Linked DNA regions of Drosophila melanogaster. The protein of the gene in region 1 interacts with the protein of each later gene in a biochemical or structural test. Each region holds a gene or a part of one and is shown on either strand. Other genes may lie near its edges.

Region 1 (12,681 bases):
TTTAATTAGATTTCACTTCATTTTCCGCTGTCATTCAGTGAAAAGGAAAGCTTCTGCCTTCCGCAAAATCTATTCAATAATGTGAGCTTACCCATTGAGTGCACACTGCATCCAAACTCTTCTTACATTTTTGGAGTTCAGAGTGTCTAGAACCTGGCTTAAATAACAACATAAGTATGTATTTTCCTTATAATTGTATTTATATATAAATAAGTTTATGTTTTTGCTATTTTATTTGGGACAGTATAGTATCCCAACTTTTTCCGTCTTCATTTTGGTATTTTAAATTCACATTAAGCAGGCTTTTTGTTAGGATTTGAAATTCCGTGAATGGGAGTTGAGCAAATTTTTCAGTGGATTTTCTTGCCGATAACATTTTTATATATTGCGTATATATCTGCGTTGAAGACTGCATTAGTTGTAGTTAAAACTACAAATTAAGGGACGCTTTGAAAAAGGATATAATAATTGCACGTACCCAACTAAAAGATCGAACAAACCCATAGATAGATCGATATATACGATATTTTATCTAAGCCTTCATTGAGATTTGTGTTAGATGATTTGAAAACACTGGAAGTGCTCGTTGTGTACCGAGTTAGTTTCCGTTTTGAAGTTCACAGTTAATTGGATATTGGTTAATTTGGAGGAATGAATTCAAGATGAATTCATTACCAATACTGCAATCAGTGGACCAAAATTTATCGTGCAAGGCAGCAGGAATAAGTAAAATGGAAAACACTAAACCAAATGATAAGAAACTGGCACAATCAAAGTTCGCATTCAAACATAACGGGCCAAAAAAAGTGTTTCACTGCACGATGCAGAGTGTTTTGCAATCCGAAGATTGCTGGATCGCTGAGGAAGTTCTAGAAGAATCAAACGAGAAAAGCAATCTGGAACTCGAAGATATTTACGATGAGGTGTTTCGCTTAAAGCGGCGCGTAAATCGACTCAATTACCAACTAGGTACCAATATACCGGAATGCCCAAAAATAGATCCCTGCCTGGATGATCATATATTTTTGACAAATGTAAAGGAAGTTCATCCCGAAATTCTTCAGCTGAAGTTTGCAAGCCATAAACTACAGCACCAACTGACTCAGATGCAATCCGTCCGAAGATCATCCAATCTGGCCAAAAAACTGGTACGGGATGAATACTGCAGAAGCAAGAAATTAGGGGATCAGTTGCAGATTGAAATTCAAAAACTAGACTCCTTTAAGCTCAAATTCGAAAAACATCAAGGACTATGTCTTCAACGGTTTAGGTTCTTGGACCAAGATAAGTATACTGGCAGGGAGTTCTATGAATTTATAGAAAAAAGTAATGAGATGATAACAACTCAACTTAAAAAGCAGATGTTAAAGAGTGAATACAAACCTTTTCGGAAGGAAGCCGCTAGGGTGACAATCTCTTTAAAAACAGCCGCGGAAAATTTGCAAGATTATCTTTCAAGCGTGATAAATAACAAAAAATGTGAAATCTTCCAGAACGTGAAAAATTCCTGTGTATCCATTCGTTCAGACCTTTAATACTTTTATATTTTTTCGAACTCCGATTCGGCTTACTTCAAGGCGGCACCACGAGCCGCCCAAGCTCTTGTATCACCGGCACACAGACCTACTTAGCTCGTCCACAATAAACCCACAAAGCCCTCTTTAAATTGTTCAATTTGTCAGGATCCACGGGCCGGCCCTCCATATGCGAATTCCTTGATTATGTTGGTCATCGGAGGAGTCGCATCCACGGGACGGCATCTGCCACAAATGGTGGTACCCTAATGTACATTTGACTAGGAAGAGCATGTATTTTCTTACATGCGATGTGTTTCGGCATCCTGTAGGCCAAAAAAGAAAAATAATATAAAAATGTTATAATTTCTATATGTATATACATATATGTATATATATTTTGTACGCAACTGATATATGTAAGAAATTGTATCTATTACGTTTTAAATATATTTACATTAAATATCATTTCTTTCAATACTTTTTTTGCATTCTTACTACTTATTAAGGGTGAACTGTCCTCTTTAATTTGGGTCCATTTTTAAAAGAGCATCCCAATTCTGACGCCCAGGGTCAGGATTTTCTTTTGTCGCTTTCGGTTTTGGTGTTTGTATCTTTGGGTCCAACAACGAAATGTATTTAGCATAAAAATTTACGATAATGAGGACCAGAACAGCAGAGACACAGCGAGCGAGCATCGCCACCATGAGAAAAAAAGCACAAGCAGACAGCGCATCAAATTTCGCATAGGCAAATAGACAAATAACTGTGGTTTACCTCCCCTGGGAGGGGGGGGGGGTTGGTTGTTTAGGTGCTACGGGGGGCGGTTTGGGTTTAGTGTTCCACCAACATTTGTGGCCAGTTTCCAACGAGATGTGGTGCCACAGGTTCTCCGCAGTCAAGTGTCATTGCTCCGCTAATGTGCAAAGTTAAATTAATATTTACCACGAGGCTGTTGTTGCGCCTTGATTTCTTCGGTGGCATTTCGAAAATTGACGAATTTCAGTGCGGTCTAACCAGCATCAAAGTCAACTGCGCTGCTTTTTGGCAGAATACGCTTGTTTTCCGTCAGATTAGCAAAGTTTTTGCAGTCATTTATTTAAACTTTTCGTTTGACGCGGCTGGTATCGTACATAAGTTGGATTCAAAGTGGGGCAGAACGCGAATTTGATAACGCGCTAATCGCATTTGGACTGCTGGCTGTACGGCAATCGGAACATAAACCTGACTTTTCCGTAAATACGGAATGCTGCAAGTGCATCCCTGACACTTGGCTGCTTTGTGCTCCAAATAAGTTTCCTTTTGCGGGAATTATGCTGCATACTTCACAGCGAGTGCCGGTGCAAAAATGAAAATAAATGCAAAGTTATCCCGAGCACTTCGGGCTGGCATTTACATTCTGCATTGGCATTGCTATTGCCATTGCCATTTTATTTCGTCAGTCGCATTGAAGTCCATGAATGGAAGGTGTGTGCCAACTAATGCGTGGCTGCCGGAGAGATGCCTTCGCATGCAGGGGCGCACCCAGGTCGTTTGAACAGGGGTGCTTAGGAACACCTTAGGACATCTTTTCTTTCAGTTCTTTGATTTTTGTATCTTAACCAACCGCATTTCTGTGCTCAGACTATAAGTTTGGCTAAATTATATTAATGCTTATTGATTTAGAGCTTAAATTAGCTTACCTATACCAATTTCGTATTTTTCGCATAGTTCTAGGCTAAGAGATGTTTATGCATAACGCTTTTTTCAATATGAATTTCACAATATACGTTTTTAACCTCGCTATAACCATGATATGCACCCCCGAAAGTACGGCTATCTACGCCCTTGCGTGTATGAGAAATCGCAGTGCAGATGGCTTACGCGACTGTCTCTTCCTCCCGTCTTTTGCGTCTATAAATTATTCATTCCGTTTGAGATGTTTGATGTGCCTCTAAGAAGCATGATGTCCTCACACAAACCCACTCACACATCGCCCATCGGTTTGTTGCAGTTTTTGCACTCTTCTTCCGTCTCTCTCGTTGCATAGTTCCTGTTCCCCAGCCTTTTTACCCAGATTTCATTGAATTCATTCATTTTTTAGCTGCCTTCGCCGCACATCCTGGCTTGTTATTGTTGGTGTTTGCCACAGCTTTGCATAAATAAGATAAACACAAGGATGAGCACAGTGGGCGGGCGGCAGGATCCCATGTTCCTCCCTTCCCTGGTCGGATATCCTGGGTTCTGGGAGTACTGAGTCCGCCACCGTCTCGAGTCGTTGCTGTGATTTATTTTGCACTCAATGTTTGCCAAAGTAAAATTGATTGAAGCGTTTGTTGGCGCTTCAATTGATTTTCAGTACAGTACGTATACGAATACGTATGTTGCAGCACCCCTCCCGATTCCCATTCCCTTTCTTCCCCCGATCAGTCCATTTTTGCACCTTATTCTCTGCTCGTGGCCAGCGAAGCATTTCAAGTGCCCGGGCACTTGAGTCCCGGCTTGTTTACAGTGGTTAAATTAACTTTGGTCAATTTGGTTTTTGTCGAGTGGTCGGACATTGCATTGAGACGGAGTCGCTTGGACCTTACATTCACCAATCTTATTCGTAACAATGCTTTGTAGGCATAAAGCCTTTACTTAATACGGGAATTCATTCGAGGTTTTTTGAAGGGTGTTCCAATCGGGGCTGTCTTTCCATTGAGATATACATATATATTTATAATATAAAAATATAAAATTATTTTATAACAATTAATTAACGATATTATTAAATAATATTGCTCCAGCAAATATTTGCTGGCCTGTGTTTGGTTAATAGTCGAATAATCGGTTGCCCCTCAAAAATGTCACAGGCAAGAATTGCAACCATTCATCAAATGTCGTCCTGTGATTTTATTAACCGACGCTGATGGTGATTGAGGCACATCGGAGCCATCAACACCTGCAGACGGCAGTCGATCATCAGGGGCCCATCCCCTATTCCTAGCCACTTAACACCCACCATTTCCGCATCCCACTAACCAATTCCCCAGCAATCACCACCAACTGCAGTCGCATAAATCTTGGGCTGTCAAGTGCAAACAGAAGGGGAGAAACCATCAAAGATGGAGCTAACAAATTACTGACAGCAAAACAAAAAAGAAACAATAAAAACAAAAGGAAAGCGCTAAATAAGACAGTGGAGATGTAAAAAAGGGGATATATAATGGCAATAATAATTATGCAGAATATACCAAATATGCGAAGTATAAAAATAAACACGCAACGCAAATGTATGCCACTCATTTTTATGAATGAGCATTTATCATAATTAAAAATTCTGCCGGCACCGGGAAAGGTTCTTCCATCACACCCATACCCTCACCCACTTCGGAGGCCGACGTTTCTGACCTAAGACACGCCAAGCGCCGCACACATATAGCCAGAAATCGAGAAGTATCGTGAGAGTGCGTCAGAGCAAGCCGACAACAAGGAGGACAGCTTTTTTGGGTCTTCTCCGGCAGCGGAACAGCTGTTGCTGTTTGTTTTTGGGACATATCCATGGGAAAAAGTAAGGCACTGGAAGAGCCAGTGGGCCAGTTGGCCGGTTGGTGAATACCCCACTGCGCATGTCCGCCGGCAGTCGCACCCAAAGGACTCTCTTCCAAAGAGAGTTCGAGTCTCTTAGACCGCCGTTTTCCGAGCTAGCTGGCTCGGCTTTTCCCGCGAGTTGGCCGAGCTTTTGCGGGGTTGTCGTGACTGCTGAAATTACCCGTCGCCACTTCGAATGCCGTTGTCGTGGGCTTCAGTTGTGCTTACCGCTCAGTGTGTACCGTTGCTGTCAGTGAGAGTGACCCAAAACTGTGACTGTGACTTAAGCCGTGACTCTAGTGCGTCGGTGGTGCGTCTCGGTGGCGTATGCTTGATGTGATGTGTGGTGCCCTGGCGTATGCTTGATTTGTAATACGCGACCCGGGCGACGTTCTCGCAGTGCATCCTCAAGGATACCAACAGAAGTAACAACAAAACCATCATTGAATTGTGCGTCTCATTTGAAGTTAATCCATAGATATTCTCACACGCACTCGCTGGTGTGTGGTGCGGTGGCTGTGAGGTAGTGAGGTTCGGCCTGTGTGTGTGTGTGTATAATGCGTATGTAATCCAGACAAATCTGTCACGTGTTTTGGATATCTTTTTCTGAGGCCGCCAGTCCGGGTATTTATTGAAAAATTGCACATAGGTGAGTCAACTCCAAATCCCCGCTGCATATGGAAAATAAAATAGTACCCTCTCACGCTGAAAACTAAAATAGTTAAGCAGCTTATGGGCCATGAGGACAGAGCTATGCGGATGATGGGCCAATAACCATAGCCCTTTCCAAATATGGATAAATAAACAAAGATTGGTTATTTAGGGGGGCTAACAACCTTTATCAGCAGATTATTTAATACAATTAGTCTCCTATTTATAAACAATATTATGAATTGGGCTTATAAATAAATTGAATTTAATAAAAATAGGATTTGGTTTGATTGGGTTTTATTCTTCTTAATTGACTACAGATTTTAAAAGCAAATTTACTTCTTTGAAAATAAGCATCATCTTCAAGTGACAGGTGTTTGTTTTTGAATTGTTTGTACAGAATTGTTTAGAATAGTTAATTGTTATTGCATGAATTACTGGGTTCTATTTTTAACTCCTTTTCTTTAAATTCAAAATTATAATAAAATTGTTGTCAGGCCTTTCAATAGTTAAGCACAAATGTTAGAGAATTAACAAATGTTTCGAAAGGCTTAGACCGTAAGGATCATTAAATAAAAGTGAAAGGATAACATTCACATTACATTACCCAAAGATTTATGATTATTTTTGCCTGTATTGAGACTTTGGCCATAAATTAAATAGCTAATGGTCACCCCAGTGGATTTCTTAGCCATTTAACCTTTATGCCCAAATTAAATGACAGAATTTGATTAGACCTATACACGCAACCGGCTTTGGGTGCCTTCTCATCCGGCTGAGTGTATAATAAATGAGAGGTCCTCGGGGCTGTGGTATCATCCCCAGGTGGAAAAGTTTGGCAACTCCCCCGCTCGCTCAATTGTTTATTTAACAGCAATGAAAAAATCATTACGCATTTCATATCCGAACTTCAAAAGGTGAAATTCCCATGAAAAATTATATAAATAAGTTGAAAAGTTTTTAATGCATATCAAATAAAAGAAACATGAGTAGGATGGCCGGAATGCGACTAAAAATCAAATGTTGATTTAAAATGCAAAGTAAAATGACAGCAAGGAGAACAAAGAGTGAGCAGGACTTGCTGTCCTGTACGCAATTTGTCCACGTATTATAATTTTCCCCATTTTTTGCATTCTCTTACACCGCTGCTGGTTGCCCTTGTCCTTGCCCTACTCTCGACCAAGTTAATGTCATTTGCATTCGCCCATATACCCACTTTCCACACGTACATATATTTTTCAACTTTTCACTGGCCATATTTTCTGGTTTGCCGCTCGCCGAGCTGGTCTCGCTTCAAGTTCATTGTGCATTAATAATTTAGTTGTCGTTTCGCCTCCAATGCGAATTCGAGTCGACACCCAGGAAAACTTGTTGGTCGCTTGCCTTTTGCCCTTTGCCCTTTTTGCCCGCTTGTAATTTGATTTTGTTTCCCTATTTTCGGTTGTACTCCGCTGGTCAGCAGCCTCGATGGGAATTGTGGCTCTCCCTATCAGGTCGGTATCATTTGCATGACTGCCTTTTAAATTCGGTCCACTCGTCCTCTGTCTGCGGGACTCGAAAATAGGTTGTCTGATTAAATAAACTTGGCCATCTGTTAATAAAGATTCTTTGTGAGTGGCCAAATAGGTATGAAAATGTGCTCGGAAAGTACATACAACAGGGTGAAAATTGGATCCAATTAAATTGCATGGAACCTATTATTAGATTCAATATCGTTACCTCGATAGTTTAGACTTCAATTCTCTGATTACAAGGGTTATTTAAGGGTTTCTCTTAATTCAAATTATCCTTGTTTTCTGAAAATACAACTTTTATATTATACAGTAATATTTATCTTATTTTACAATTATTTCTATGACACAAACATAATTTTAAATTTGTTATTGATATGTTTGGCAATATGTTTTTCTAAAATTCTCGCGCCAATTTTAGGCCAATCGGCTTTTTTTTCATTAGTTTCCTGTCTCTGAAATATGACAAATCTGAAATCCATTAAGGTTCCATGAACTTTTTAGCTACAACAGCTCATTTGCCGTGCACTTAAAAGGATAGAAAAAAGGGACTAGAAGTGGCAGACGCGACTTGTGAATTTGTTGCTATGAAAAATGATATTAAATCGCTTTTTTCATTATTTTTCCGGTAAAATCGCGTTCTCCATCTTGTCAGACAGTTGTCTCAGCCAGCCCAGTGAAATCCCAGTAGCTAGAGCAAGCCCAAAACCCAAACCCACAACCTCGAGGCTCGTCTGTCGACGTTCCATTTTCAGTGGCGCGTTGCGTTTTGTCCTTTTCAGGGATTTGGACTGGAACTGCAAGAGGCAGGACACAAAGAAAAGTTCACAGAGGAGCGGGGAAATTCTCGTGGAGGCAGATAGAGCAAGTTGAAAATTCAGAATAATGAGGAAACTAACGAGCCAAGACTTTCTCATTGTTTACTGGCGCAAAAATTGCGCGATTATTAATTTTCTATGCTATTTTGTAGCTCTTTTTGCGGCCCCGCTCTGCGCCACTTCATCCCCTCCGTTCACCCTGCCACTGGCACAGCAGAGTTTTCTATATTTTCCTCGTTTTTAATATTTCGCAATATTCGCCACGTTTTCTTCGCTCTTTTTTGGAGCGTGCAACTAATGGAAAAGGGCGAAGTGTTGGCCCAAAAGAGTTCAGTCAAGAGCCGAGCCAAGTTTTCCGCGGAGTTCATTGCTTTCGCCCACATGTTGTGTATACGCCACTTTAACTGACACATTTTCGCCTTGTTTTACCCCAACCGCCTTTTGAAGGTTTGTTTTTCTTCGCCGCTCGCCATGTTTGTTATTTTATTCAACGCTTCTGCTGGGAAAACGCTGCCCGCCTTGAATGCTAATGAAAAGGCTGGAATTAGAGTTCCCCTCTCTTGCCAAGTTTGCCAAAAAAGGGGAGGGAAGGTGGAGAGTAGTCCTTTGAGCTGTTTCCAGAAATATGAAAAGTTTCAGTAGAGTTGATAATTTCTTACTTCTTGGTAGTTTCTACTAACCTGTCCAACACTAGTTAACCTGCCAAATATACCAAAATTAAATACTGTTCTTTGCTTTCTTTGGCATTTGTTATTATAGTTGAATAATTGCCTCGTACAAAAACTTAAATAAAAGGGGACGCACTTTTTTATTATTTCTATTACAGTGTAAGCTAGAAAAGCAAATAAGAAAGCATTTTCGCTCGCTCTAACACAGATTTATTTATTTCTCTCCTTTTTAGGTAAGCATTTGCAGGTAAGCATTTGGTCGGAAAACGCAGTCGGGTTTCAAAAGGCTCATTGACATGTGGGTAAATAAATTTTTAATTTAAAATAAACAGTGTGTATTAAATTACGAGTGTCCCTAACGGAAGGGCGGCCTGATGAGCTCGACGGGCAATATCCGCTACGAAGGACACACACAAAATATGCAAACTGGCATCAAATCCAATTAGTTAATATGAATATTTGATGAAATCACTTCCGTTCCAAATGCTGCAAAAAAGGCCGACCATCCAGTGTCCCCAATGCCTTTCATCATCATCGCCATGACGATAATGATTCGAAAGTTTTTCACAGCGCCCGTGTTGGGTAACAACTTTTTCCGAATTTAAAACTTTAACGCATTCCCAAATGCAAGTCATCGAGTTGGGCGCTCGTTTCGCTTGAAATTATTCGTCTTTTTTGAGCTTTTGTGTTGTACCCACAATAACCACAATTTGCAACTTTTTGCGGCACTTTGTCAGTGCGAAAAACGTCAAAATGTTTGCGGGTCTGAAATTTATTTAAATATTTCATTTGTCACACATTTAGTACTGGCTAGGCTACTTGGCATATGTGACATTGATTAATATTCAAATTTAAGGGTTTCAATTAGCCGCGATACTTTAGTCTTTCGAGTTCAGCGTTTTTTTTTCATCGTATTTGATTTCACCAAATGAAATCCAAAAAAAAAACGTCTATTCCAAGGCTTGTGCCAAATTGAATTTTTAATTTTCCATCGGGGCTTTCCTTTGCTCCTTTTGTTTCGTTATATTGTGTTTCTTTTTCCCTATATTTTTTTGGCCATGTTTGGTTGTTTAACTTTTCGAAGCGGCTTCTTGTTGGCTTTTTGTTTGGGCCACACATGTATGCAGCCATTTTGGCATACAATTTTAACGAGGTGCGGTTGTTGCTTCCATATATCCTGCAAAACGGACTCGTGGCCTCTCTGCTTTGTTGCAAAAAATGTCACGCATTGTTTAATATTAATTTCATTTTCCGTACGCTCCAACACCGCGCAGCCGAATATTCGTTTTCAAGCTGTTGCCTTTGTTTTAATTTGCGGACCAGATCCCGGCCGGAATCCAAACAAATTTTATTTCAATATATGTGGGTTTTGGCGTAATTTATTTATTCGCATTTCTTGTTTGCAAGTCAAGAGCCCGGCTCGCCTCATTATGTTTTTTGAGAGCTTGTAAATTTAATTCAAATTACTCTTTCAATACCCATATTACGAAAAAGAGAATATTTTAAATTATTTAAATCATGTTTAGATTAGCCATGAATTCTGCTAGCCACATTTTGCTCTGATTGCGGAAAATATGCGTCATTTAATTTTTCACATTAATTACCCATCCTCATTTGTCCGTCGTCGCACTGAAATTCTCTCAGGCATAAAAAGTTGCAGCATATTTAACTGTCGAACCAAACTGAAAATTAGTTGAGCGCATTAAATGACAACAAAAACTATTTTAATTAAACACATGAAGCCAGGAAGTGCTGCTAAATGGGCCACGGTAAAATGGTCACATCACCGAATCCCTGACAAATGAAACCTGAAAAATTAGCAAAAGTTGTGGCAAAAGCGAGCCAATTGGAAAGTGGTAGCTCAAAAAAACTGAGCCAAGTAAAAGGAATTTCTAGCTCACACACACCGAGTGTATAATGTGGGCCACAAAGAATAATGCACATTGCCCACGAAAAAAGAAAGGACAAGAATTTGCTATTTTTTACCATTTGTTAGAGCCACAGCCAGACAATATATCACCATTAAACAAATTATGTACTCTGCTCGACGAAAATTTTAAATGTCTCTCGCTGTCCATTGTATCTGCACAGCATAAAGTAGCAAAAAGTTGTGGAATACCCTCCCCACGTTAGGGCGGGAAAAACAATCGTTCAAATGTATAAAAAAAGTTGTTGCACAGTGGGTAAATCGGAATTCTCGAAAATATTTCAGAAGAAACTTTTTCTGTGTTTATGCGATGCACTTCTAACGTAATATGTTTCATGATAGCCCGCTTTTTACGAACTCTATAATTGGTCAAATCAAACTCTATAATTTCGGTGGCTTCGCCGTCCAAAGAGAAAAACAAACTAGACAAATATTTAATTCATTAAAATTTAACTTGCCGGCATTTGAAAATAATCTTCTTTACCACTTTTTACAAATACAAATGAATTATAAAATAAATTAAATGGCTTTGCTCACTTATTTGGCTTAAAACCATCCGATTTGACCTATACTAGCAGAGTTACCAGATTTGGCAGTAACAATTTTATAGGCATCTCTATCTGCTAAGACCGTACAATATGAGAATGAATTTTGAGATAATAATTCACGCTTTCTAGAATGGTTAGAATAATGTATTGAATAAGTTATCGTCCTAGCATACTATTAATATAATTCGAGTAGCCTTAATTTCGTGGTTAAAACATCTTTAAGATAATTACATGGAATTTAAATCAGCTTAAATGACCATATTTGTAATTATAGCGCATTATTTGAGCTGAACAGGACAGGAAGTGTAGTTCACTGTGGCGCAAAGCAGGCCACACGGAGTTCATTAGCTCCTTGGAAGTCGCACCTTTCCGCTCCACTGTGCAACAGGATGCACCGTCAGCCATTATCATTATTAGAACGACGTTTATCAGCGGCACTCGTAGCACCGCCGACCTTCCCCCGCCCACTTTCCCCTGCGTCATTGACACGTTTTGTGCGTGCGACAGCCACCAACACCCCACTACCCACACAACTTGTACGACCAACCAACCACCGGAGCCTGGTTTTCCACCCAGACAAGGTGTAAACATTTATGAGGCTTTGCTTGTTCTTGCCGTTGTTACACATTTTTATTTCCATTTCTTTTTTGCCAACGCTGCAAGAGACACAAATTTATTTCGCAGCATTTACACACGCGGCTTGGATGTGGATTCCGTTGGAGCTAGAAGCAGGGAGGATGGGATGCTGGGAACTGGGATCCTGATGCTGAGTTCGCCACATGCCACGTTTAGCGCCCGCAAATTTGAGCTCCTCTCGTTGGCCACATTCTTCAGCGACCACAAATTTCCTTGTAGTTATTTTTCCTCGCCTTAGGGGTGGCCCCTCCCCTATTTGTTCTCCTACCTTTTTGTTTTACGTGGAACAGGAAAGGATGTGCTGTTTTTGGTGTTTTTGTGCCGAGCGAACCGAACTTCCCAAAAAGAAAATCTATCTATCTGCATCAATTTTCTAAGCATGTATAGATCTTTCGTATTTTCAGGATCACATGTCTGCATACTTTCGTTTTTCTGGAAATCTTGAGTGAGAACAGTAGAATTTAAAGAATTATTCGAACTAGAACCAAGATTTATGCTACACAGTAGAGTTGGTAAAAGATTTTTGTTTATTTTTTTTTTTAATAATACAGTGGGTATTCCTATGTCGGAACTAAGTAATCGTGTCATTCTATCGAAGGTTTCTGGGGACTTGTGGACGTGCCATGTTTTATTTTTACAACTTCCTTACGGGCTTCGAGCAAAAAAGTGAGATGAAGAGGATGATGGTGAAAAAGTGTCGAAAAACAACAAGGGCAACAGCAACAGGGACATTTTTGGGGCCGGGAGATAGGAACTGGGAATCAGCTTTGACTGCTAAAGTGTACCAATTTTTCATGTCCACATCTGCATATACTCACAGCTATGCATATGTAAATGTGTCTGCTTGCCCGCCTAT
Region 2 (12,681 bases), on another chromosome or scaffold:
CAATACGTTAATGACCTCAAGATCCAACTCAAACGAATCAATTGCTTCACAAACCTCAAATCTACAAACAAAAATCAACACAACAGACTCAGACACTATGGACGATCCCGATTCCTAGTCCTGATCCTCTCACCCTTACCTTCATATACACACACCACAAATTAATAACAGTCCAACAAAAAACAATAAATAAAAAAAAAAAAATTTTTAATCATGACAATTACTATATTACAATGGAACATCCACGGCATTTTTAATAATTACAACGAACTGACACTACTCATAAAAGACCATGCACCCGATATTGTATTTTTGCAGGAAACCAACCTTCCATGTAATTCTACAAATTTTATTTGCCCCAAAGAATATAGTGGTTACTTCCACAATTTTTCTTATAACACCTCAGCCAAACAAGGCATTGGTGTTCTTATTAAAAGGAATGTCCCACATACATACCGTAACATTAACTCCAGCATACTCTGCTCCGCACTGCAGCTTAATTTTGAACAGGTCATTAATATTGTTAATGCGTACATCCCACCAAGTCAAATTTTTTCATCTTCTGACATATCAGAAATTCTTCAAAATCTTAACGGATCCACAATACTCCTGGGTGATCTTAACTCATGGAGTCCTTTATGGGGTTCACCTCGCACAAATACAAGGGGTAAAAAAATTGAAACCGTAATTCTTGAAAACAGCCTAATTGTTCTTAACGACGGTTCCCCGACTCACCTTTCAACTCACAATACGTTCACCCACATTGATATCTCACTGATATCTCCACAGATAGCCCATATGTGCAGCTGGTCTATATCAGATAATCTCCATGGAAGTGACCACTTTCCCATAACCATCCACATAAACACACCTACCCGTCCCGATAACACTTTACCCCTGCCTAAATACAAGACAGACCAAGCGAACTGGAAACGCTTTAACGAAAGTTGCGAAAAATCAGCAGCATATTGGACGGTCGGTTGCCTAAATCAGCAAGTCGCACAAATGACGAAAGTCATACGTTCAGCTGCAAACTATAGCATTCCCCAAACGAAAAGGGTGATCCACAAAGCCAAGGTGCCATGGTGGAACGCTATCCTTCAACAGCTTAGGGACCAAAAGCAACGCTTGTTCTCGTCCTACAAAGCCAATACGAATGATACAAACCTTATCCGATACAAAAAAGCAAACGCGCTTTTCAAAAAAGCTGTACTTTCGGCCAAGCGTAACTCCCTTGAAAAATTTACTTCCAAAATCTCCCCAGTATCCTCCACAAAAAAGGTCTGGTCAGATATAAAACGCCTAGCCGGCATCCCTCCCACTCCGTTCAAATATATCAAATCCAACTCGGGTACCCTAACTGGATCATTTGATATCGCCGAAGAGTTTGCCTTATCTTGGTCTAAATACTCTTCTGACCAAAATTTTTCAGCAGAATATATACGAGTAAAAAATCGGTATCTTTCAGAGCCCTATGCCATCGACTCACTTTCCCCATCGGCTACATCCTTAGATTCCAATTTCACATTGCTCGAAATAGAAAATTCAGTAGCAAAAGCAAAAGGGAAAAGCCCTGGGGCTGACAGAGTATCATACCCTATGCTCAAAAACCTATCTCCCCACCTAAAAACAAAACTTTTAGACATTTTTAATCAAATATTAACCACTGGAAAATACCCACATACATGGAGATCGGCTATCATTATCCCTATATCAAAACCTAACAAACCCCCTTCCGATATTAACAGCTACCGTCCAATCTCTCTGTTATCCTGTCTGGGAAAAACACTAGAAAAAATAATAGCACAAAGACTTACCTGGTTCATTAAACGCCACAACCTAATTTCCCATAATCAAGTTGCCTTTAAAAGTAATCATAGCACGATGGACGCGTTATTGCGTATCCAACACTTCGCGTCGAACGCTCTTTCGACCAAAAATCACGTCTCTATCTTGGCGACGGATTTTGAAAGAGCCTTCGATCGCGTGGGGATTCACGCCGTACTTTGCAGACTCGAGCGCTGGGGCATTGGTCCTAGGCTTTATAACCTTATTAAAGCCTTCATGACCAATCGGTCCTTCAGGGTTCGAATAAACAATGTCACATCGAACTCCCACATTTTACACAATGGAATCCCGCAGGGTTCGCCACTTTCGGTGGTTTTATTTATGATAGCTATTGAAGACATAAATGACATTGTAACTCGGCATAAAGATATTTACATCTCACTATACGCAGACGACGCAATAATCTTTACTAAAATAAAAAATATTAACACAGTTAGAGAAAAATTCTTAGAAATATTGCAAGAAATTAACTCGTGGGGAGCAACCTCTGGGGCCTCTCTTGCCATTGAAAAATGCCAAACTTTACATATCTGTCGGAAACAACGTTGCAACCTTTCCGACATTGTCTTTAACAGCCGCACAATAAAAGATGTAAATTTTTTAAAAATCTTGGGGATAACCTTCGACTCCAAACTACTTTTTAAACAGCACTGTCAGACTCTAAGAAAACAACTGGAAACTAGATTTAACATTATTAAATTTCTATCATCTAAATATTCTTACATACATATTAAGACTCTCATAGATATTACGCGCGCTTTAATGCTATCTAAAATTGACTACGGACTGCCAATCTTCGGTTGGTGTGCTAAATCACACTTAAAAAAGCTACAAGTCCCATATCACGGAGCGGTCCGTCGCGCCATTCACGCATTTCCCACATCTCCAGTAGCGTGCACATTGGCAGAATCGGGTCTCCCGAGTATCCAATCACGCGTAGAAGAAACTACATTGATGCTTATCCCGAAGCTGTACACCACGTCAAACTGCCTGCTAACCAAAGACTTCGGAGCCATATTTAAACAAAAACGGAAATTCAAGTGCATATCCACCCTAAGACGTTGCGCCAACTACATCAAGCTACTTGACCTTCCCCTGCCTAAGCCCAGGAGGCCCTTCAAATCGCCAGCACTTTGGGGTTCCAAACAGCCTAACATAAACCTTCAAATATACAATGCTGCCAAAAAGGATACAGGTCGCCTAGAATACCAAAAACGTTTTATGAGCGCACAAGAAGATCTTGGTGTGAAAAACTGGATCTACACCGATGGTTCTAAAGTCACCGGCGCAACTACTTTTGCGGTCGTTGACTCTAACCGTAAAATAATTGCAGGAGGTAGGCTTCCGTCCTACAACTCCATATTTACAGCCGAAGCTTTCGCCATTCTCAAAGCATGCCAATTCGCTTCCAAAAACGCTGGAAAATCTGTTATCTGCACAGACAGCCTCTCCTCTCTTTCCGCTATACGCAACTGGAACCATAATGACCCCACAACACAAGAAGTTAGGCACATTCTAAGTTCTCACCCAAAAAAAATCACCTTACTCTGGGTTCCCAGTCATCAAGGTATTCATGGGAATGAACTTGCTGACAAAGCCGCCCAAGAGATGAGGCTTACACCATCAATCCTGTTCACTCCGTTTAACTCCAAGGACCTAAAAAGTCGAATCAAGTTATACCTCAAAGAAAGGAAACTCTCCGAATGGGCACTCTTCATGCACAGGTACCAGTCTATCAATCCGAATTGCATCATGTTCAAGCCACCAACGAACGTACATAAACGGGAATGCGCGACCTTTATCCGTCTACGCATCGGGCACACCCAATCCACACATCAACACTTACTGACGAGATCGGCGCGACCAACATGCCAACTATGCGGGGACGAGCTCACCGTTGACCATATTCTCAACGCCTGCAGTCAATTGCACTCAATTAGATCTCACTTATTTGGTACACATAGTCTCTCGAATTGTTTAAGTATCCCATCCTGTGAAAATATCTCAAAAATTTACAAATTTGTCCAAAAAGCTAAGTTTATTATATAAAGCAATTAACCCATAAGTCTCGAGTCGAAGGCCCCCGTAGCTAGTACTCATTAAATTTAATTAGGTTTAGTATTGTATACTATATTTAATTTTGTTAAATAAATAAATAAAATAAGATGATGTGCTCAAAACAAGTTTTGTTACCTAACCTAGCTAAGAAACAATGCAATCTGGAGTCGTTGACAAGTATGTATGTAACAGAAGCAGAAGGAAGTGTATAAAAACTAGTGACTAGTCTTACAAGTTATCTTCAAACGTTATAGTTACAGTTGTCGTTAATGTCTAGCTAAAATGTTCCTATTTTTTCAACAACAAAAACTGCCTTAATCGAACTATTGCAACCTATGTAAAGTAAATTAAGTAAAAGTTAAGTCTATTGAGACTTCTGCTTGCTTCCACCTTTCCATCTCCCTTGCACAGTCCTTAGGTGATTAATAAATATCCGATAGTCGCATTCATTAAAATCTTTTTTTGGAAATTTAATTAATATGTTTTAAAAAGTGATCAAGCAAAATAAAGATATATTTTCTAACGTTCGATTTATTTTCAATATGCTTTCGTCTTTCTTTGACTTTTCCTAATTTTTTGCACAAGGTAAGGCTTAAAATATCGTCAAAAGTCGGCTGATATAAATTCTATATGTATTCCAAAACAGCTAACAATGTTATATCCCATTTGAAAAATGATGAAAGCGAACAACCGAAAAACTAGCTCTTGGTAAAACATACAGCCTTTTATATTTCAGCAATTGGTTTCTGTATAACTTTAACTCGTTTTTCTTTTCTTTTAGAATGTTTTTCAACCAATAATAATCAACTGGGCAAAACTAACCACTTATGCAGATCTCTGCGTTTTAAGTTAAGGCAATTGCTCTAGTAAATTTACCAGCTTCTAAATGTTGCTGGCAACATGTTGCCAGAGGACAAGCACTGACGCCTTCGTCCGCCACACGAGCTCGTCCTTCGGAAGCATTTCGGCTGGCCTCGGGATGGCAGGCACGGGACACGGGACTCCACAGTGCCAGGACATCGGAAGTCGGGAAATTGGGAAATCGGGATGGCCGTGCTGCCGAAGGACGAGCACATTGCGCTGGGTCGGCCCAATGCGAAACGCGCTTGGTGCGACAGGTTCAGTGCTCGGGCAACTTCCTAGCGCGTCGGTTCAGTTCAGTCCAGTGGATTCGAGACACGAAAGGACTCAGTTTCAAACTAAAAATTCCAAAGTTTCGAAAACGGGTTTCGAGTGGCGCGAAACAACAACGATACAATGATACAATTACTCTAGCTGAAAGTCGAGAGAAGAGTTTTTGACAAGTGTTAGTTGATTATTTTCAAGTTTTTTTTTAGTGTTGGCCAGTGCTTTGGACTAGTTTCGAAGCTTTGCTTGTTTTTTCGAACAAGGTAATTCTAAGACCCAAAAATTCAAAAGTTTTTCGCGAAGCATACGATGTGAGCTGTGACTGCGTATTTAGAAATTACTACACTAGTGAGGTGAAGCCAATCCCTCGTTTAGTCCTTTACTCCATTGCCCGTCGATCGCTGCCTAAATCATTTCACATACGCTTGTTCACTCATTTGTCAATTGCATTATCGGTGGTATGTTAGCATTCCCTTTCTTTTCTCAGCCTTTCAACCAATTGTTACACCAATCGAGTTGTTTTCTTGCGAATTCTCTCGACTGTTCATGAGTGAATTCCTTTTCAGTTCATTGAATTTCTATGTCCTTTCCGTTTTCTAACATTAACTTTCTTTGTTTGCATTTATGTGAGTCACTCGTCACTCGTTGGAATCCTTTATTCTCGTTTCTTGTTTTCAGTAAATAAAACAGTTGATTTGCCAAGTTGCAAATTAACTTTTGCCAGTTTTTTTTCCCAAAAACAACTATCTTTATACCTTCGTGTGGGGAAAATGTAGTCACCTTTTATGGTCAAAATCATATCGTACATTTTGTCGCATACTAACGATTTGATAAATTGTTTAACATAATTATAAAACTGTCAGCTTGTGTTCTTTTCGTTTTTAATTGTTTGTAATTATATATTTTATATAATATGATAGCATACATTACACATTGCAAAAATTAAGTAAGGTTTTCAATATCTTTTTTAGTGGTTTGTAAGACGATCCGAATTCAATTTTATTTTAAATCCGGTATCCATGTATTGCTTTGAACCCTTTTTGTGTTTCTGATTTCCTTCAAGAACTTTCACCCACCTGAACTTTAAAACCCCATTCAATCTCTCGCTCATCCCTCGCCATCCGCCACCAGTTTGGCACATTCTTGAGGTACCTTTTCTGGAAGACTCCTCCGAAACTTTTTGCCATCGAACAAAAGGCGCCAAAATGAGACTGCAGCATCCAACTAGCAGGCCAAGTTTTTAGTTGGCAATGATTTATGTTTTATTAATATTAAAAGTGATTTATTAGCCATGAAATTTGTGAGCCAACTTGGTCGTTGGCCCTTATTCGACCAGGTGAAGGGAGTGCTGGCTGCATGCGCGATTTTTTAATTACAGATGGAGTGGGACAGGGAGTACTGTCCAGCTGCAGGCTCCATTATCCTTAAGCGCGGACCTGGCCGCTCATTATCCCGACGTCCGAACTTAAGCTAAACTGCTGCACAGCGAGATTAAAATTGTAAATGACAGCCAGCGTGACAGGACAAGGAAGGAGCAGGCATCTGCTCGTCCTTTAATGTCCTGCGCCGTCCAGCCACGCCCCTCTGCGCCCCTCTGCGACCCTGTTCGCAACCATCCGCTCCCCACCCACCAGCCGTCGCATTTTGTCGTGTTTTTAATGAAAATTAATTAATTAAATAACGTTTTTACTCATTCGCATCGCCTTGCCCAGCAATTGTCTTCCCTTGTGCGCAGGTGTGCGTGTGAGGATGCATTTTATATTAAATAATGAAGTGTGTAAAATGTATGCAGTGGCACACAAAAAGAGCAAAGAGGCAAATGAAAGGGCTTTATGCGGCAAATGTAAATTTGGACCTTTTTGGGCACAGGAAATCTCAAGCTTCAAAGTGCACAGAGAAAATTGTAAACGCAATTTTCCAAAATCTTTATTAATGGTTTTTTTTTGGGAAACTTTACTTTGGGAACGTAATTAATTTTATTATTGGTCTCGAATAATCAAAATTTATGTGCAACATTTTGTCATTATATTTGGGAACCCTTTTTGCAAAATGTATACAATGCATACTTCCGAAATACCTAATTTTTTTTGTTTGCCTGTCGAGAAATTCCCCGAAACTTCCCAAAGCCATTGCCAAATTTTGGCATCTCGGTCAACACAAAAAAAGTCATGCACTTCAGTTAGCATTAATTTGAAATTTGACTGAGACTCATCTCGATTCCATCTGGTTAACCGGAACCAAGGCAAGAAGCTTCGCGACTCCTTGTCCGCCGTGTCTAGTGGTTAATCAACTAATATCTTATAAAATCCGAATGGAATCCATCCGAATTCATAATAGAAAAGGGATCTTTGGTTTTGTGCTGCGTCTGGGAGATTGGAAATATTTCTCGATCTTTGTACTGAGCACAGAGGAATTGTGTGCGAGTTCTGCGCCTATGGAACTATTTGTATTGGTCTGAACTGACCCTGAACTGGCTCACATTGGAACCGAAATATATGATGATCTCCAAATTTAATTATCAGAAATGAATTTGAAACACTTCCACATATAAACTCAGTTACTTAGAGTAAACGTAGTCACTTAAAAGAACCTGAGTACTTAATTATAAATTTAAAAAAGGTTTTAAAATATTATTTTTCTAATTATCTTGCAAGCCCCTACAGAACGCCAAAGACATTTTTGCTTGGCGCCCATAAGCCTAGAACCTGTCTGCTTTTCAGATTCAGGCTTTAAATCTTGTTGAAGGTGGAGGGGAATATTTCATTATCACTATCCATTCACATGCCAAAAATTGTTTGCATCCACTCATTACAATGTTACCGTCAAAATAATGTATGCCACATCCTCCATTTACCTAGCCCTTAGGGGTATAATTAAAAATGAGTTCTAATTGAAACTGTAGTTTGCCCTCATAATACATTTACTTTTCAAGCTACTTTGTCTCCGATTCTGACGAACCTTTTGAGACTTTAAAAGGATATTTAAATGTCGGCTTATTGGGTCTAAGCGAAACAAGTTATGTACATATGAATAGATAAGTAGGTAGGTTATGTAACCAAACAATCGAAGCCCAGTGATAACAATAAATTCGAGTAAAATTTACTGCGACACTCCAAGTCGGATGCACTCTGCATTGTGTCCGGAATTGCGAAGCTCCGATTTCCATGTCGAAAGGAGCAAACTGACTGACGACGGGCTGCCTAGGGCATTTAATCGGCGCTATTTGGAAATAGGATATGTCCGAGCCATCCGAGTGCTGACTGATGATGCGGGCATCAAAGTGCAACAGAAGGGAACATGAATTTTGGGAAAAGTGACTGTTCATGTTACCTGCAATTAGTTGGCAGGCGTTCAAATCAAATCTACATTAAATTATGGAATCATATTTCCCAAAATTTTGGTTTCAGAACCCCCTCTTTTTGATTCAAAATGAAATTTCGAACAATAATTATTATGGGGAAAATCGGCAACAAAAGACATTGTCGAACAAAGGACGACAATGGCCACCGCGAACCGAAAATTAAACGAAATTTCGCAAGCATTATTTTCTGGTCCAGACCCGGTTCCGCTGCCCAATTCGCCCCGAATCCTGTTGGAAATAACCCCATTCGCTTGTTTCATTTTTTTTTTTCTGTTTTTGTTTTTGTTTTCCGGCGAAGGCAAACGCAGCAGAGAATGGCTCCTGCATATAATGCAAAATGTCAGCGAATAAATCAGGCTGCGATACATATTTAACCCCAAGATTGATCGAGACCCCACTGAAGATATATGTATGTTTGGTGGAGTGAAGGAAAAAAGTTCTTAAAGCAGCTTGATTTCCGTTTTTGTGTGCTAATAAATGACGTGTCACAGAGAAGCGGAAACAAACACAATTAAAAACGCATCAGTGGCGAATGGTTACACATGTGAGAGTTGGCGCTAGGGCAGCAAATGGTTAAGGACGAGGTTTGGATGGCCAACAAAGCAAACCACAACCAACCAGCACTTGCACATTAACAAAAGGCAAACAACGGCGGCAGCAGCAACATAATAAAAGAAATATTTTCCATACATTAAAAGAAAATTGCACAAACAATTGAGAGGAAATGCCGGAGCGCGACGGTTTCAGTTGCTTTAAGTGAAAAAAAAAATAAAATAATAATGCCACTGCAACAAAACCGAGAAATGGCAATGGCAAAAGCTTTTCCCCAACAGACCACGCTGCGAATGCGTAATGTAGTTGAGCAGGAACAGAATGCATAGAAAAGCGAGGGCAATTTGACAACAGAAATTAGCCAGCAAGACAACAGGTAAATAGCAAAGGGAGTTGGTGGAGAAGCCAAGAAGGGGGCAAATGCATTCTGGGAAATACAAAAAAAAAACTATAGCTGTTGCAGGAAAATTGAAAAGATCAACTGCGCACGTACAATAGAATAAAATAATGAGAAGTATATCTGGTCTGCACGCGAAAAACAAAAATATTATTGAAATTTACAAAAGTAATTGGCCATTATAAAAGTAAAGATGAGCACTCGAGTAAATCGTTTATAGGCAAACTATAGAACTTTTTCGAAATAAATAGAAATTTTGTCTTTAAATGCATTCTGCAAAATGCTCAATTGGCATTTATAAATAAGTATGTATAAATAATAACATGCCTAAATTGAAGATTACAGTACGGAATATCGTCTGTATCGAGAAAATATGTCTGAAAAACGCTCCCATAGGTACTGATTTTTAAAAATAAATATCTGTTCAATTCATATTCGTAAAATATTACTCTTAGTCCTAGTGTGAAAACTATAAAACAGCATTTTTGATGGATTTTTTAATCGAATATTAAATTTAAATAAGGCGTAGCTCAATTGTTACTAAGGCTGTACCTACGGGTTAATTATGACTTGAAAGCATAAAATCAAGTATGTTCCTCCTTATGCCACAAACCAAAACTTTTGATCTAAATTGGTTTCAAAATAAGTCTACTAAATGATAATGACAATAATAATAAAACATTTTTAAGTCAAAATAGTGCATGAAGTACGATAAAGGATGAGTATAATTTCTTATTTTTTTACTGACACCTTAATTAAAAAGATTGAAAGTTACCTATTTAGTCCGAATTCATATTCAATTTCCGTACTGTTGAGAAACGGAAGAGAGAATGCTATGGTCGAGTTCCCCGACTATCAGATACCCGTTACTTATCTAGTTTGAGAAGGGCAACGCGAAATTTTTCTAGTATTTCGATATCAAATAAGACAAAATTTAAAAATTGTTGAAAAATGGGTTAGAATGGGTATGGCAAAAATTTGTTTTCCAAATCAAAAAATGTCAATACATTTTTCAAAAGTGTGGGCGTGGCAATTTTGTGCGGTTTGAAGGATTTATAGTGGACGTGGCAACATTGGTAGAACAATCTTGCGGTGAGATCTCTACGTTCATACGGACAGACAGACATGGCTAGATCGACTCGGATATTGATCCTGATCAAGAATGTATATATATATATATTGTATATTAAATATTATATAGTTGGAAACGCTTCCTTCTGCCTGTTACATACTTTTCAATGAATCTAGTATACCCTTTTACTCTACGAGTAACGTATGCACTCACGAATTGCTACTTTTCATGCGAAAAAAGGAAAAACGTGAAAAGTGTATTGCATAAACACAAGATGTATCGATGTATCTAGGCTCCCTTCTCCGCTTTACACAATTTCAACACCCATTTAAGCTATTTTCGAAAGTCTTGCATGCCACCTTCCCCCGCATATTTCGCATGTGTAGCTGCAATAAGCAAGCTGATCATTTACACAATATTTGCATCGGGCAAAAATCAAATAGAGCACAGAGTGCTGTGTGTGTGTGTGGGGGGGGGGGGTGTACTTGGCGGTAGGCCACTTGAATTTTGATTAGATTCGCTCGCAAAAATGTCGACACAAATATTCAGTTGAATATCAACAATAAAGGCCGAAACAAGAAAGCGAACAACTTAATGCATGGCAGCAGTGCCATATATTAAGTGTAATAAATATACAGACGTGCGTGTGCAGGTATCAACATACATATGCGAGTATTTTTGGCCTGATTAAAGTACCTTCCTCAAGTATGGGCCTAAGCCGAATTTAGCTTGTGGCTTCCCAGTAAATTGAGTAAGTATGAGCCCTTTGGCAGTTATGGCTTGCCAAAGATATTTCACACTTGATGGCAAATATTTGCAGACATCGAGGCACAGCTTAGCTTTGGCCATAATTAAAGTCGATTTAATCGAAATTAATATTGAAACTTAGGGGCTCTTTAAAAAGACAAAGAAGAGTATAATGTTGATTAACTGGGGGGCCATGAAAGGCATTTTCGCATTGATTGATTCGCACAGTCGGTGGGTATTTATTGCAAAACGGGGACTCAAATCAAATGGCCATTTCCATTTGCTTTTGGCAAACAACAAAGGGGCCCCAACAATTCTACAGCGGTGTTTATAAATAATATGGAGTAAATTCTACAGGCAATTGCAAGTTCATTGCTTTTGTTGTAAATCTGCTGTTGTTGCCGCCTGGCATTGCCAACTGGCCACGAAATTTAATTAAAACGATTTTCCATTGGCAAACAAACTGCGGTGTGGTGCAAAAGCGAAATTCCTCCCCATATCCCAAACCATTTTTGTCTCGCGGTGCTCGTTTTGTCATTAATTTAAAAATTTGTCTGAACCCTTTTCAACTGACAAAATCGGGACATGCAGGAACACGCCCCCACTACGCCCACCTCGCACAGGCCGCACCAACGCACACACACTGACAAAAAAGTATATTCAAATAAGTACTTTGATTGGTTCTGAGAAAAATTCCTTTCCCTGATGAACGCTTTCACATTGCTGAATATAAGCAATTCGCCAACTTTTAACATTACTTTTAATATCGCAATAGACAAATCCCTTGGCAGTACAAGAAATAACATCTTCTAAATCTAAATCTTTTATTTTAGATAGATTTAGATACATGATGCACCTAGAAATTTTTTCCCAGTGCAAGCACACACATATGCATATGGCAAGCCCTGCTTTCGTTTGCGGTTTCCATCCTCTCGCTCTGCCCGCTCTCTCGATCTCTTTCTTCGACATGAAAAAGGATGTGTCCTTGCGACGTTGACTCATTGCATTGCACACACACGCGCATCCACGCGCCAGCCGCACACAAGCACACCACACACACATGCTTACACCCACACAGCTAGAGAAAGAGCAAGAGCAAGAGCAAAAACAACAGCAACAAGTCAGCGAGTCATGTTTTGCTTGCCATTTGTAGAGTTGACCTCAGCGTTTTCCTCTCTATTGAATGGGATTCAGCTATTTGTAGCATTTAATACACATCCGCATGCCCCAAGTGGTTACCCCAGTTGACCCCACACAGACCCAACGCATCCCACCTAAACCAGCTCCAGCTCCTGCTCCTGCTCCTGCTGCTCCTGCTCCTGCTCCTGACACTTGTCACTTGCTCTATGCTCGTCTATGGTGCTGCACCACCTCATCCGCTCTCTGCTGCTGGCATCTCCTTCCTGATGGACTTGGAGTCGACACACGAAATGTTAGCAAATTGTTGGGCAAATTCACAGCCTGTCACCACGAGAATACAGTACCCACACGATAAATGCCATTTGCTGCGGACCCGTT

Evidence for each region.
Region 2: the proteins of dpr11 (region 1) and DIP-beta form a complex in vitro, tested with the Drosophila melanogaster proteins (one study listed by BioGRID).

What each region holds. Positions count from the first base shown.
Region 1 is NT_033777.3:6,585,918-6,598,598, reverse strand, and holds the start of dpr11 (defective proboscis extension response 11), read left to right. Parts: upstream 1-5,268; 5' UTR 5,269-5,715; intron 5,716-12,493; exon of another isoform or gene 12,494-12,681. Other genes in the region: CG1138 (uncharacterized protein), read left to right, coding at 663-1,535.
Region 2 is NC_004354.4:21,450,082-21,462,762, reverse strand, and holds the start of DIP-beta (Dpr-interacting protein beta), read left to right. Parts: upstream 1-5,024; 5' UTR 5,025-5,212; exon of another isoform or gene 5,213-5,297; intron 5,298-12,681.